Caenorhabditis elegans: one gene and its partner. The protein of the gene in region 2 interacts with the protein of the main gene of each other region in a pairwise test. Each region holds a gene or a part of one and is shown on either strand. Other genes may lie near its edges. The genes, in order: tcer-1 and thoc-3.

Evidence for each region.
Region 1: the proteins of thoc-3 (region 2) and tcer-1 interact in a two-hybrid assay, tested with the Caenorhabditis elegans proteins (one study listed by BioGRID).

The regions. Positions count from the first base shown.
Region 1 is NC_003280.10:7,045,092-7,051,990, reverse strand, and holds tcer-1 (WW domain-containing protein), read left to right. Parts: upstream 1-1,919; coding exon 1,920-2,020; intron 2,021-2,078; coding exon 2,079-2,105; intron 2,106-2,164; coding exon 2,165-2,507; intron 2,508-3,002; coding exon 3,003-3,189; coding exon of another isoform or gene 3,190-3,221; exon of another isoform or gene 3,222-3,553; intron 3,554-3,707; coding exon 3,708-5,047; intron 5,048-5,101; coding exon 5,102-5,548; intron 5,549-5,596; coding exon 5,597-5,828; intron 5,829-5,882; coding exon 5,883-5,950; 3' UTR 5,951-6,118; downstream 6,119-6,899. Other genes in the region: ZK1127.5 (putative RNA 3'-terminal phosphate cyclase-like protein), read right to left, coding at 83-685, 733-1,139, 1,187-1,316.
Region 2 is NC_003279.8:8,969,031-8,973,575, reverse strand, and holds thoc-3 (WD_REPEATS_REGION domain-containing protein), read right to left. Parts: upstream 2,438-4,545; coding exon 2,333-2,437; intron 2,256-2,332; coding exon 2,106-2,255; intron 2,060-2,105; coding exon 1,948-2,059; intron 1,903-1,947; coding exon 1,796-1,902; intron 1,690-1,795; coding exon 1,418-1,689; intron 864-1,417; coding exon 614-863; 3' UTR 539-613; downstream 1-538. Other genes in the region: F32H2.12 (SRCR domain-containing protein), read left to right, coding at 1-66, 113-263, 312-439, 483-510; F32H2.10 (Integrator complex subunit 1 R4 domain-containing protein), read right to left, coding at 2,613-2,725, 2,769-2,877, 2,923-3,136, 3,182-3,261; spd-2 (Spindle-defective protein 2), read left to right, coding at 3,505-3,595, 3,639-3,878, 3,926-4,303, 4,346-4,545.

The DNA of each region.
Region 1 (6,899 bases), on a different chromosome or scaffold from region 2:
TAATGTGAAACAATTTTTTAAATGAAAACCAACAACAATAACAATAGAGAAATCATAACAACGAAAAAACAAATCGAGTAATTTATAGAATGGTCTTGTTCAAATTGCTGTATCCTACACCAACAGCGGTAACCATAGCTTTATCGGCACTTCCTGTTTTGAGATCAGCTTCCTCTTCCTTCAATGTTTTTTTAAAGTCTTCCATTTTAAACTCGATCTCAAAAAACTGTTTGAGATGCCTGAGTGCGTGTACACTATACATTGGAAGAGGACCGTAGAGGAAGTGTGAAACATCTTTAGGACAGAGTGTCATAAATGTGCTTGCAAGTATTTGAGCACTACTGTCAAGGGCACCTCCCATGTAAATTTGTTGAAGAAGAGCATGACCGGCTTCAATTCCAATGTCTTCTGGAAGAATTGGAACTCCTGATTCGCCCTTCGGTCTTGAAATAGCTTCTGCTTGGTAGATAACACCCTCTGTCGTTTCGGCGGTTAAGAACAGACCATATCCTGGAGAAGCGCCACCAGCATCACCTTTCCGTTGATCAACAGTAATATAAACATCCGAAATGTACCCATGCATTGCTTTCTTTGCAGCGTCAATCATTCGATAAGCTAGTGAAGGTGTAACTTTAGTAACATATGCTTGACCTCGAATTTTACAAACTTTTCCGACTTGTTGTCTCTTAAATTAACATTTTGTTTGGGAAGAAACGAATAAAGTAAACTCACTTTTACTGGCCGAAGAGTTTTAACAATTGGAGCGGTAAACACGACAACACCGCCTCCTTCTGGTTTCAATCCTCGAGCTTGAATTTTGATATCAAGTTTCTCATCATTGAGCACAAATTTGTTGTAAACTTTCAACCAAGAAGCTTTCATACCATCGACTGAGATTTCACCAGGTGCGTTTGTAACTCCTTTCAATTTGATTACCATTGGAACTTTGCAGAAGGGAGAAAGCAATAGAAGAGGCTCCAAAAAGTAAGAAATGCATCTTTCGGTACCACAATCCAAATTAACAACACCGCCAGTAATCATTCCCGGTCGGAAAATGACTTGAGTACCTGTTCGACTGATTTCAACTTTAGTACCGTTCGTCACTTTCTCAAGTAGACCGATCAGTTTTGATTCGAAATCTGTAATAATATTTTATGTGATACAAGTTGATAATGAGTAGACCGACCTCTGATTCCTGGTCTATCATCATTTTTTCTGATGTTTATTATTCTGATGGGTCTTCCGCTGAGAATTGAGTACGCTAGTCTGATTCGGAAGAAATTGCATCCACTGAATTCTAGAGTTTCACTGGACATTACCTGAAAAATGTGTCCATCAGTCAAGACGAAAATTGAAGAAAAACAAGCGATTGAAAAATAACAGCATATAAATATTAAATTTATTTGAATTAAAATTCTCCAATTTGAGGATTGAGCTCAAATAGAAACTAAAAATGCTAGAGAGCAGTTTTCATTGGGAGCATATATTATCTGCAAATCAGCAAAAAATAAAGAAAACGTTTACTCGTTTTGTGTCTTAATAAATCAGTTAATTAAAAAGACTTTTTTTAAATCCTTTTAATTTTTTGTATTCATCTGCAACTGCAAAAAAAATTCCGCGAAAAAAAATAATGCAAACGCGCTCCATTGTGAGAATTCAGAGCGCGACGCGGTGTGCGACGCGGTCCTTTGCAACATATTTCGGAGCTTTTTACAACTATTTTATTTGTTTTCAGTTTACAAAGTATTATTAGGGTAAATGGGAATGACTAAATATATAAGCCAAGCAATTAACACTCTGTTATATACATAGCTGATCTTTATAGAGCTCAACTAGATATAGTTTTGAAACTTTTCGTAATTCCATTATGCTAGACTACTGTTTTTGGATTTTACTTTATGAACTGCTCTTTTTTACAGATGAGCCACGAAAATCAGGAGAACTACGATGATTATAACGGAGACCACGACAATAAATATGACCAGCAGTACGACGAATCAAGCCGAGGCGATGATTTTGGGTATGTTTTTTTTTGGTATTCTTAATTTTACGAAAACCGTAAAAATATTATTTTTCAGTGGATATGGTCGAGGAGGGTCGTCAAGGTATTATAAAATTAAATTTACATGCTCAATCTAAATAAATTATCAGTACATTTTTTCAGCGGCAGAGGTAGAGGATTTAATGGACCGCCAGGCGGTGCTGGAAGTTTTTTCGGTGTTCCCCCAGCTGCACGTGGTCGAGGTGGACCAGGGATGGCTCCTCCAGGATTCGCAGGTAGAGGTCGTGGATTTGCTACACCAGGTATGAGCAGTGGTTTTGCTCCGCGCGGTCGCGGTATGCCGCCAGGTCGTGGTGGATACATGCCTCCATACAGAGGAGGTTATGGTGTTGCACCAAATGGAGGTCCAGGAGCGTACGGAGGGCCTTATAACGGAGGTCCTGGAGCATATGGTGCTCAAGCACCAGGGCCGAATCCACAAGATCAGGAGCAACGTCTGAAGAGAGTGAGTAAATGTTCAATTGTTGAAATAGTCTAGAAACGTATACCGTATTTCTTCTATTAATATGGCTGCAATACTATTTTTCGATGGTCTTCCCGCTTGCAATACCAATAGGGAGTGCAAGACTATTAGGGAGTGCAATACTAATTTTCAGGGCCTTTTTCTGACTTTGAGCTTACTACTTTTGTTCTGAAAAAACTCGAATCTTATGTAAAAATTCAGAAAATTTGATTGAAATTGCAACAAAAAAGTTCAAAAACTTCAATCTTATAAAAATTTTCACGAAAATTGTTGAAAACGACGCAGAAAATGTTGTTAAAATCTCAAATTTAGTGAGGCGGGTTTGCACCGAAAAAAAGTAGACGCAAGACTATTAGGGAGTGCAACACTAAAAGTGAGTGCAATACTAATTTTCGGAGGGTGTTCATGGTGCAATACCAATAGGGAGTGCAAGTCTAATAGGGAGGCCATACTAATAGAAGAAATACGGTATTTCAGCTTTCGGGATGTGAAGAAGGACAAGAGTTATGGGTTGAAACTGAGACAGCTGAAGGAAAAAAGTATTTTTATCATCCAGTTAACAGGAACACAATTTGGGAGCGACCACAAAACGCTAAAATAGTCACTCAACCAGAATTGGCTCAACTCATTCATAGAGCCACGGAAGAGGAAAAGAATCGTGAAGGTATGCAATTGCATTCAACTTTTAGCATTTGATGTTTTTGATTCCATCTTTTTGCACATTTATAATTAATTTTCAGAAGGTTAAGTTTAAACCTGGCACAGAAATTTCAGATTCTTAGGTTCATCTCTCCATAAGATTATGTCGCTCTTCTAGTCGTTCCTCTTCATTGCTGTCAAAGCTGAAACGCGTTTGTTAGAAAAGTTTGATAATAAGTTTGGAAAAAAGAAACATAAAAATCAGTGGTAATAATCAAAAAGTCCGTATTGTATCACAGCCACAGGAAAAAATTGCGGAACAACTACCGATTTACGAGCTGCGAGAAGGACATTCTATGCCGTGCGAGCATCATGCCATCCACTAATGTGTAATGTCCACTTTTCTAAGTTTTCCATCAAGTCATAATAGAAAATCATCATTATCTCTTGACTATGAGATTCGGGATCCACGTAGGGGCGGTCTCTGAATATAAATTAGATTTTATTTTTCATATTTATGCCTAACATATGATTTTTTTTCAGAGCGAATGCCACATGGTCAAATCCCACAAAATCCTGATGATGCCTGGAATGAGTTTAATGCCCCGGATGGCCGGAAATACTACTTCAATTCGATAACACAAGAGAATACTTGGGAAAAACCAAAAGCTCTCATCGATCAAGAGAATGGAGGGGGAGCGTCTCCCGAACCTGTACAGTCGGCTGCTATCGCTGAAGCTCAAGCCAAAGCACAAGCGGCGCTGGCAGCTTTTATGGCTCAACAGAAAACTTCTTCCAATGGCGGAGGTGGAATGCCATTGTCTAAAGCACAAGCTTCAGGTGCAGCTGCTGCAGCTGCGGTAAACGCCGAAGCTGCTAAAAAGAAAGATTCGACTCGTCCCATTAGCAGCACTCCAGTCAGTGGAACTCCATGGTGTGTTGTTTGGACCGGTGATGACAAGGTATTCTTCTACAATCCTTCTACGAAGTGCTCTGTTTGGGAACGTCCACCAGATACATATGGACGCGAAGACGTTGACAAACTAGTTCAGAATCCTCCATCTCCAAAAGCAGAAGAAGAAAATAATCAGTCTAAAAAAGAAAGCGAGTCAGAATCTGAGTCTGATGAGGATGGTCCTCCAAAAGCTAAGAAAAGTCGAGCTGAAAAGAAGAAGGAAGCTTTGATTGCTGCTCAAAAGAAGGAGAAGGAACGTCCTCGCCAAATGCTTCAGAAACCAGTTGATCCTGCAATTGAGGCTGAGATGCAAGCTGCAAAGGAAAGAGAGAAAGTTCCATTGGAGGAGAGACTGAAACAGTTCAAGGAAATGCTCGAAGAAAAAAATGTTTCCACATCAAGCACGTTCGAGAAGGAACTTTCAAAAATTGTTTTCGACAAACGTTACCTGTCTCTTGGGGCTACTGAGCGTAGAGCTTGCTTCGATGCTTTTTGCCGGGAAAAAATTGAATCTGAGAAAGCTGAGAGAAGAAAACGGGTCAAAGAAGCAAAGGAAGAATTTCAAAAGTTACTTGCTGAGTGCGAACTCAATGGACGGTCATCGTATTCTTCATTCACTTCAAAGTTCGGAAAAGACCCTCGTTACAAAGCAGTTGAAAGAAATCGTGATAGAGAAGATGCTTTCAACGATTTTGTCGGCGAATTGCATAAGAAGGAAAAAGACGAGAAACGTGCTAAGAAAGAAAAACTGAAAGCAGCTTTTGTGAAACTTTTGGAAGAGCAGACTGGTCTCACGCGCAAATCTAAATGGTCAACCACGAAGAAAACACTTGAAGATGAAGAAAGATACATTGCTCTCGATAGTAGTTCTACCAGAGAATCTCTGTTCCGAGAATTTGTGGCGAATCTTGGAGATGAAACAGCATCGGTGAATTTATTGTCTTATTGTTTTTTTTTTTCAATTTTAAAATATCATTTTCAGGATATCGAAGAAGAGCAGGAACGTGAGAAGCGTCTTGCTGCTCAAACGGCCATTGCAAACCGTCAGAAAGAAGTTGAAGCCGAACTTGGTAATCAACTGCGAGAGCGCACAAAAGAAAGTGAGAAACAAAAGATGGGCGAACACGAGGATACCTACCGAAATCTTCTAATCGATCTGATAAAATCTACCGAAAACAGTTGGCACGAGGCTCGACGCATTCTTCGAAAAGATGAACGCTATGCAAATTGTGATATGTTGGATAAAACTCGCAAAGAGTCGCTCTTTGATGATCATATCAAAAGTTTGGAAAGAAAGCGTCGTGAGGCTTTCTTCCAAGTTCTAGATAATCATGAGAAGATCACACCAATGATGCGCTGGAGAGACGCTAAAAAAATCATTCAAGACGAGGAAGAGACTTTCGTAAAAATTGCTAGCAACTCGGAGAGGGTTTGTGATTTATTTTTAATTAAAATACTTTAACTTTATTATTTTCAGAAAGTTGAGAGAGATTTCCGAGATTGGCAGGAGAGACGGCACGATCACCTTACTGATGAATTCAAGGAGATGCTTTCTGAGACAAAAATCATCACGCATAAGTCGAAAAAATTGATGGAAGAAGGTGAACAGCACATGGATATTTTGTCAGTTCTCGAAAACGATAAGAGATGGGTGCGGATGACTGCTATGAGTGCATCAGAACGGGATCGTATGCTAGAAGATCATATTGGTAAGATAAATGCTCATAAATTGATACAGTTGATTTACATATTAATATTTCCAGAAAACTTGGGCCGCAAAGGAACACCGCCTCCACCAACACAACAAGAGCGGGATCGCAGAAAGCAATAAACACTTGATTAAGTATTTAAATTAGTTGTTGATATTCCATCTTTAATCAGATCCAATCTTCTCATTCAATCTCATCACTTTCCCGTTCTCCATCTATTTTTGTACCTGTATCCACAGTATTTTTAGCCACTTATTGTTTGTGCCTCTCATTGATTCTAAAAAGAATTACCGTATTTCTTCTATTAATATGGCTGCAATACTATTTTTCGATGGTCTTCCCGCTTGCAATACTATTAGGGAGTGCAAGTCTAATAGGGAGTGCCATACTATTTTTCAGAACATTTTTCTGTGTTGGGGCTTACTAGATTCTACTTGAAAAAACTCCAATTTTATTTGGAAGTATAGAAAATTTGATTGAAATTGCAACAAAAAGGTTTTTTTTTAACTTTTCATAATACTGGTATTTCTCTGAGAATATTTCTATGCTTGTGCATGAAAATTTAGTGATATCTTGATGGGCATACTTTGTAAAAACATGTTGAATCAAACACTTTCAGAAGTGCTATTGATTTCAGGTCCAACGATAAATTTGAGTACGGGTAGCACATGAAAACGAAATTTCCAAAAAACGCTTATTTCTCGGGAAATAGTTCAATTCTACCAAATTTTTCTTTGCAAATCTACTAATTTCTTACAATATAAAAACATTAAAAAGGTTTTCTGAATTGATAAAATTTTTAAACATTTTTGAGTACGGGTGTTTGAAAATTTGACCGAGGTGTAGAGGGGGGATTCTTTTGAATTTCTCGTTAATTTATCCTCTTCTGTCAAATATATTTACTTTTGATACTTAAGATGGACTGTGACGGGTTTTTCTTATTTTATGTGTTATTCGATTCTCCCCGATGTTCTTTTTATGTATTACTGTTTGTTTTAATTTATCGAGTTCCGAATTAACATAAATAAATAAACAATAAACTAAAAATGTACATGCAGACACGAAAATTTC
Region 2 (4,545 bases):
AGAAATATTATGCTCTGAAAATGGAAATGGTTGGCTTTCCAAAAAAGTATTTTCCACGGAATCAAGGTGAAACCAATTTTTGAGCATAATACCGAAGCTCTTCTTTTTCCAGATGTGAAGATAACACCCATATTCGTCATTATTGTTGTCGGCCACAATCTCAACTTTGCACGTGGCAGGGTGTATGGACTTCAACTGAAACATTTCAGAATATAAATTGCCAGTTTGAGCCTAATTCAGAATGTGGGAACTTATTGTGTACTGTAAGAGTAGAGTGGACTGGTTTTTTCTTCGGAAGTCCCAATTTACAGAATGGGCAACACAAAATACTGGCGGATTCTGAAGGTTTTTGTCGATCGGTGATGATGAATGGAAGATGGGGATCTGCCACGTGTGGCAAGATTTTTTCAGACAATTCTGATGAATGGTACAAGAAAATGTATTTGATTTTTAAAGATTTTCATTTATCTTGAAATTTTCAGAGATGCGTATTCGGTGATTGATGTATAGTTTGCAGTTGATTATTTTTAACTAGATAAAACGATTTTTTTAATTTATAGTATCAGATCAATTTTCGAGAACAAGAGCAAGAGAAAATAATTATGGAAAAATTTTACACGGTACTGTGTCCAAACGTTTTAACATGTGCTGCTTCCCTATTGTCCATACTATCGGAAGCAGTGTATGCAAGGAGAAGAGAGTTCGGATGCCAGGCAACTGAATAGGTCTCGCCAGTGTGTTTAATTTCGTGGCAACGTGATCCGTCTGGTACATAGGCAATATCGATTGAGTGATCTTCGGATCCAGATGCAAGAAGTTGACCATTACAAGAAAATGATACAGCTCTTATTCCGTAGTCGTGTCTGAAAGTTTTGCAGTTTTAACTTTAAAAGCATCTGAGAACAATACTTCTAATAATGGTTATGTTTCGAAGCTATGTCTATCATCCAATTTTAATTATCGTACATAAACTGTAATACATAAAAATTGATGATTTACGAAATATGATTTCAAAAAAGACGGACGGGAGTCTAGATAAATGGATTAGGTTGCAAACTTGAAAAAAAATCTCATCATTATTCGAATTTTGAGAGCATCTGCTTTCAAAAAAGTATGTTGGAGCAAAATACAAAAAATAGAAGTTGGCGAAAAATCAAAAAAAATTTATAGATTCGATTTTCGATGGAATCTCAAATATTTTGTGCTAAACTCGCAATTAATTAGTCGCACAAACGTTGGAGTAAAGCAATTCTAATATTTGAGGAAACGAATTCAAAAACTATTAAAAGCAACATTTAGCTTAAAAAGACTTGTAAAATATATTTTTTTAAATAAAATAACGTTTTAAGTATAATATATTTTTAAACATATATTTTTGCCCCAAAATACCAAAAAAAGTCCCAGTCCTGCTGCTTACCTAGGAATAACTCTTTCACAAATGAGTTCTTCAAGATCCCAAAGTGAGCAAGAAGCATCCGATGCTCCAACTGCCAATTTTCGCCCGTCTTTCGAGATCGACACTGCCAGACACTCAACTTGATGCGAATGGGCTTGAATCGAAGTCACAGGTTCAAGGGCTCCACCGGCGAACTTTAGAATTTCAACTTTTCCTCCAGACTCTGCTACGAATACGTGGTTCGACAAAGGGTGAAATGTTAGCTCGTGGGAGAAAGTTTTCATTTCATAGGACTGAAAATAATTAAATTTAAAATGTTTTGATCGTCTTTACAACTTTACAAGCAATCCTAGCAAAATCCTAAAAATCTCAAGTTGCTAAATAGCTCTTGAAACTCACATTTACAACTTGATAATTCCGAATGTCTACTGTATTTATCCGATTATCTTTGTCGAGAAATATGAAATATTCGTCACACGGAGACCAGGAGATGAAGAAATTTCCAACTGAAAGCCGATCATTTTTAGGAGTTTAAATTGTTAATTTGAAACCTCGATTTGAAATTCGATGAGTCGGTTTGCTTTGTCGAATGTCCCATACACAAATGTTTCTATCTGCACTGGCTGATGCAAATAAGTTTGGCTGCTTTTCACTACATGCTACCTGAAATAGAAATCGTTAACACCAGATGAGGAAATTTCCGATATACCTGTTCCACAGACGATGAATGACTAGAGCCCACCCAAGAAAATCTGAGACGACCTCCATCCACATTTGCAACGCTCACTTTTTTGTCGAATGCACCACATACAAGTTTTGTTCCATCACAATTAAATGCTATTGATTGGCATTGCTGGACCTGGAATAGAAAAGTAGTTTTCATTTCTAAAATTGATGAGTGGGAAAGCTTGAAATATATTATTTCTTTAGGTATACCTTCATATCGGTTGATCTGATTCTTTTGTACTTTTCAAAATATGTCGAAGCATCAGCTGCCGTTAACAGACGTGCACATCGTCGTTCTCGGGAAGACACTGTCATCTGAATTAGATTTTAATACTTTCCGAATATCATGAAATTTTATAAATAAGGTATAAAGATGGGACAAGTTAAGCCCATTTTTACCGAGAAGCAAAGAAAAATCAAATAAATGAAATACCCGATTTATTGATAAATGAAAACCCGTCGCAACTCATAAATCTAAACAATAAATCAATCATTGAGAAGCTTTGGTATAAGATTTTGATAGAAAACTTTCAACGTCAGTACATGGAGCTGGAAGTCTGTTGTATGCTATTGATCCGAACTTTATCAGGTTATTTGCTTCTTCTGCAAGATTAATATGAAAATGAGTTTATTACTATCGATTCACCTGGACAGGCGTCAACAAACTTAGGCAGAAGCGATAAAGCATGTTGAGCCACTTGAGGATTTGAATTTACAAGTGCCAAGTGATAGGAATCGAGCATCATTTGCCGTGGCTAAACTTTCAAAATTGAAATTATTGTCATTTTGATAATTCTTACACTTTGAGGATGGGCCAAGATTTTCAGACAAGCCGCAAATGCAAATTTACGAATAGGTGTCGTTCTGTGAGTTAGCAGCTGGGACACGAACTTTGGTGCTTTCGAACATCGTTCCGGATTACTTCTCTCGATTTTCTGAATTATTTCAAGCAGTTCACGATCATTTGGAGTATGCGATTGTTCGTATTCGAAGATTTGTTTGGACAGAGGGTCACTGAACAGTTATCGAATTTTTAGAGAAAACCTAATAAAAACCAACCTTATGACTTGCTGATCATTGGGAAGAAATCGAGATTGACTAGCAGCACGTCCCATCATTCGTTCATCAATATCACCCATTGTTTTTGTGTTTTATTTTTCGCTGAAATTCACAATATATTTAGATTTTATGTTTTAAAAACGACTATAAAAAAATAGTTATTTCAATTTGAATTGCAAAAAATATGATACAAAAGTACGCATTTTCGCGTGGCCGTGTTTGCGGACACAGAAAACAAACATTGGCGCGCCCGTCAAATGATTAGTGTTTACGCTTTTAAAATCATTCATTTTAAAACTTTTTCTATTCTCAGCGTATTAAAAATGGAAGATGATGCTCCAATGAATCTCTGTAATGAACAGTTCGAAGAAATTGAAGATAGTCCCATTGATGACAATGATAATGAATCATTCTGTAAGTTATTATACATGTTATGCAATTAAAATAGCTTTTTCAGACAATGCTGATGGTGATGTAGAACTCGAAGAAGAGGAAGTACACGAGACACCGAAAAACTTCAAAAATGGTGGTCGCTTCAAAACAAACATGACTAATCCAAAGGTTAATGACCTGACAACGATTGAGGAGAAAAATGAAGATTTGCGATCTGCCGCTAGCTCGCGCAGTGCGAGTCGTCCAGCCAGCGTGATGAGCGATAAGTCGTTTTCTAGTCAATTTGAGTTTCAAAGTGGTGGAGGTTAGTTTTAATCTACTTAAACCATTAATTTTGTTTCTAATTTTCAGAGAATGCCATTGAAGAATACACTAATCAGGTTTTTGCTGATGAAAACAAAGCTGACCTGCTTTTTCCTGAAACTTCAAAATTTATGAACGGAGCATCGCCGCCTAAAGACAAGCATCACTCCTGGGAGCCGTCCATACACCATTATGATAAGCAACCACCTCCCGACATTCAAACAAATTCGCCCGTCTTCGGAAACTTGAATCATCGAAAAAATAAATTGATTCCCCAAGCTAGAGCAAAGCCAGGAGCCAATGACAACGAAATCGTGGAGAGGGATAATGACGAAAATGTGCCGACAACATCTGATAAATCGGCATTTATCACATCACCGATGAATTCCACAAATCACGACGAGAAAACGAGCACTCCTAAAAGACGTGAGACTTTCAATTTAAACTTTGTTACGACAATATTTTCAGCAACTAATCGGAAAATCGGTCAATACCAAGGGCCTAATTTCGATTTATCAAGCATCTACGTTGGTAGTCCACAACACCAGAATACATCAATCTCTACGGGACAACAGATGCCGACTTCGTCTTATTCGCATGCACATTCTGAAACAATGATGACAAATCAAACTATTAATGAGTCAATGGTTCGAAGAGTGCTCAATGGA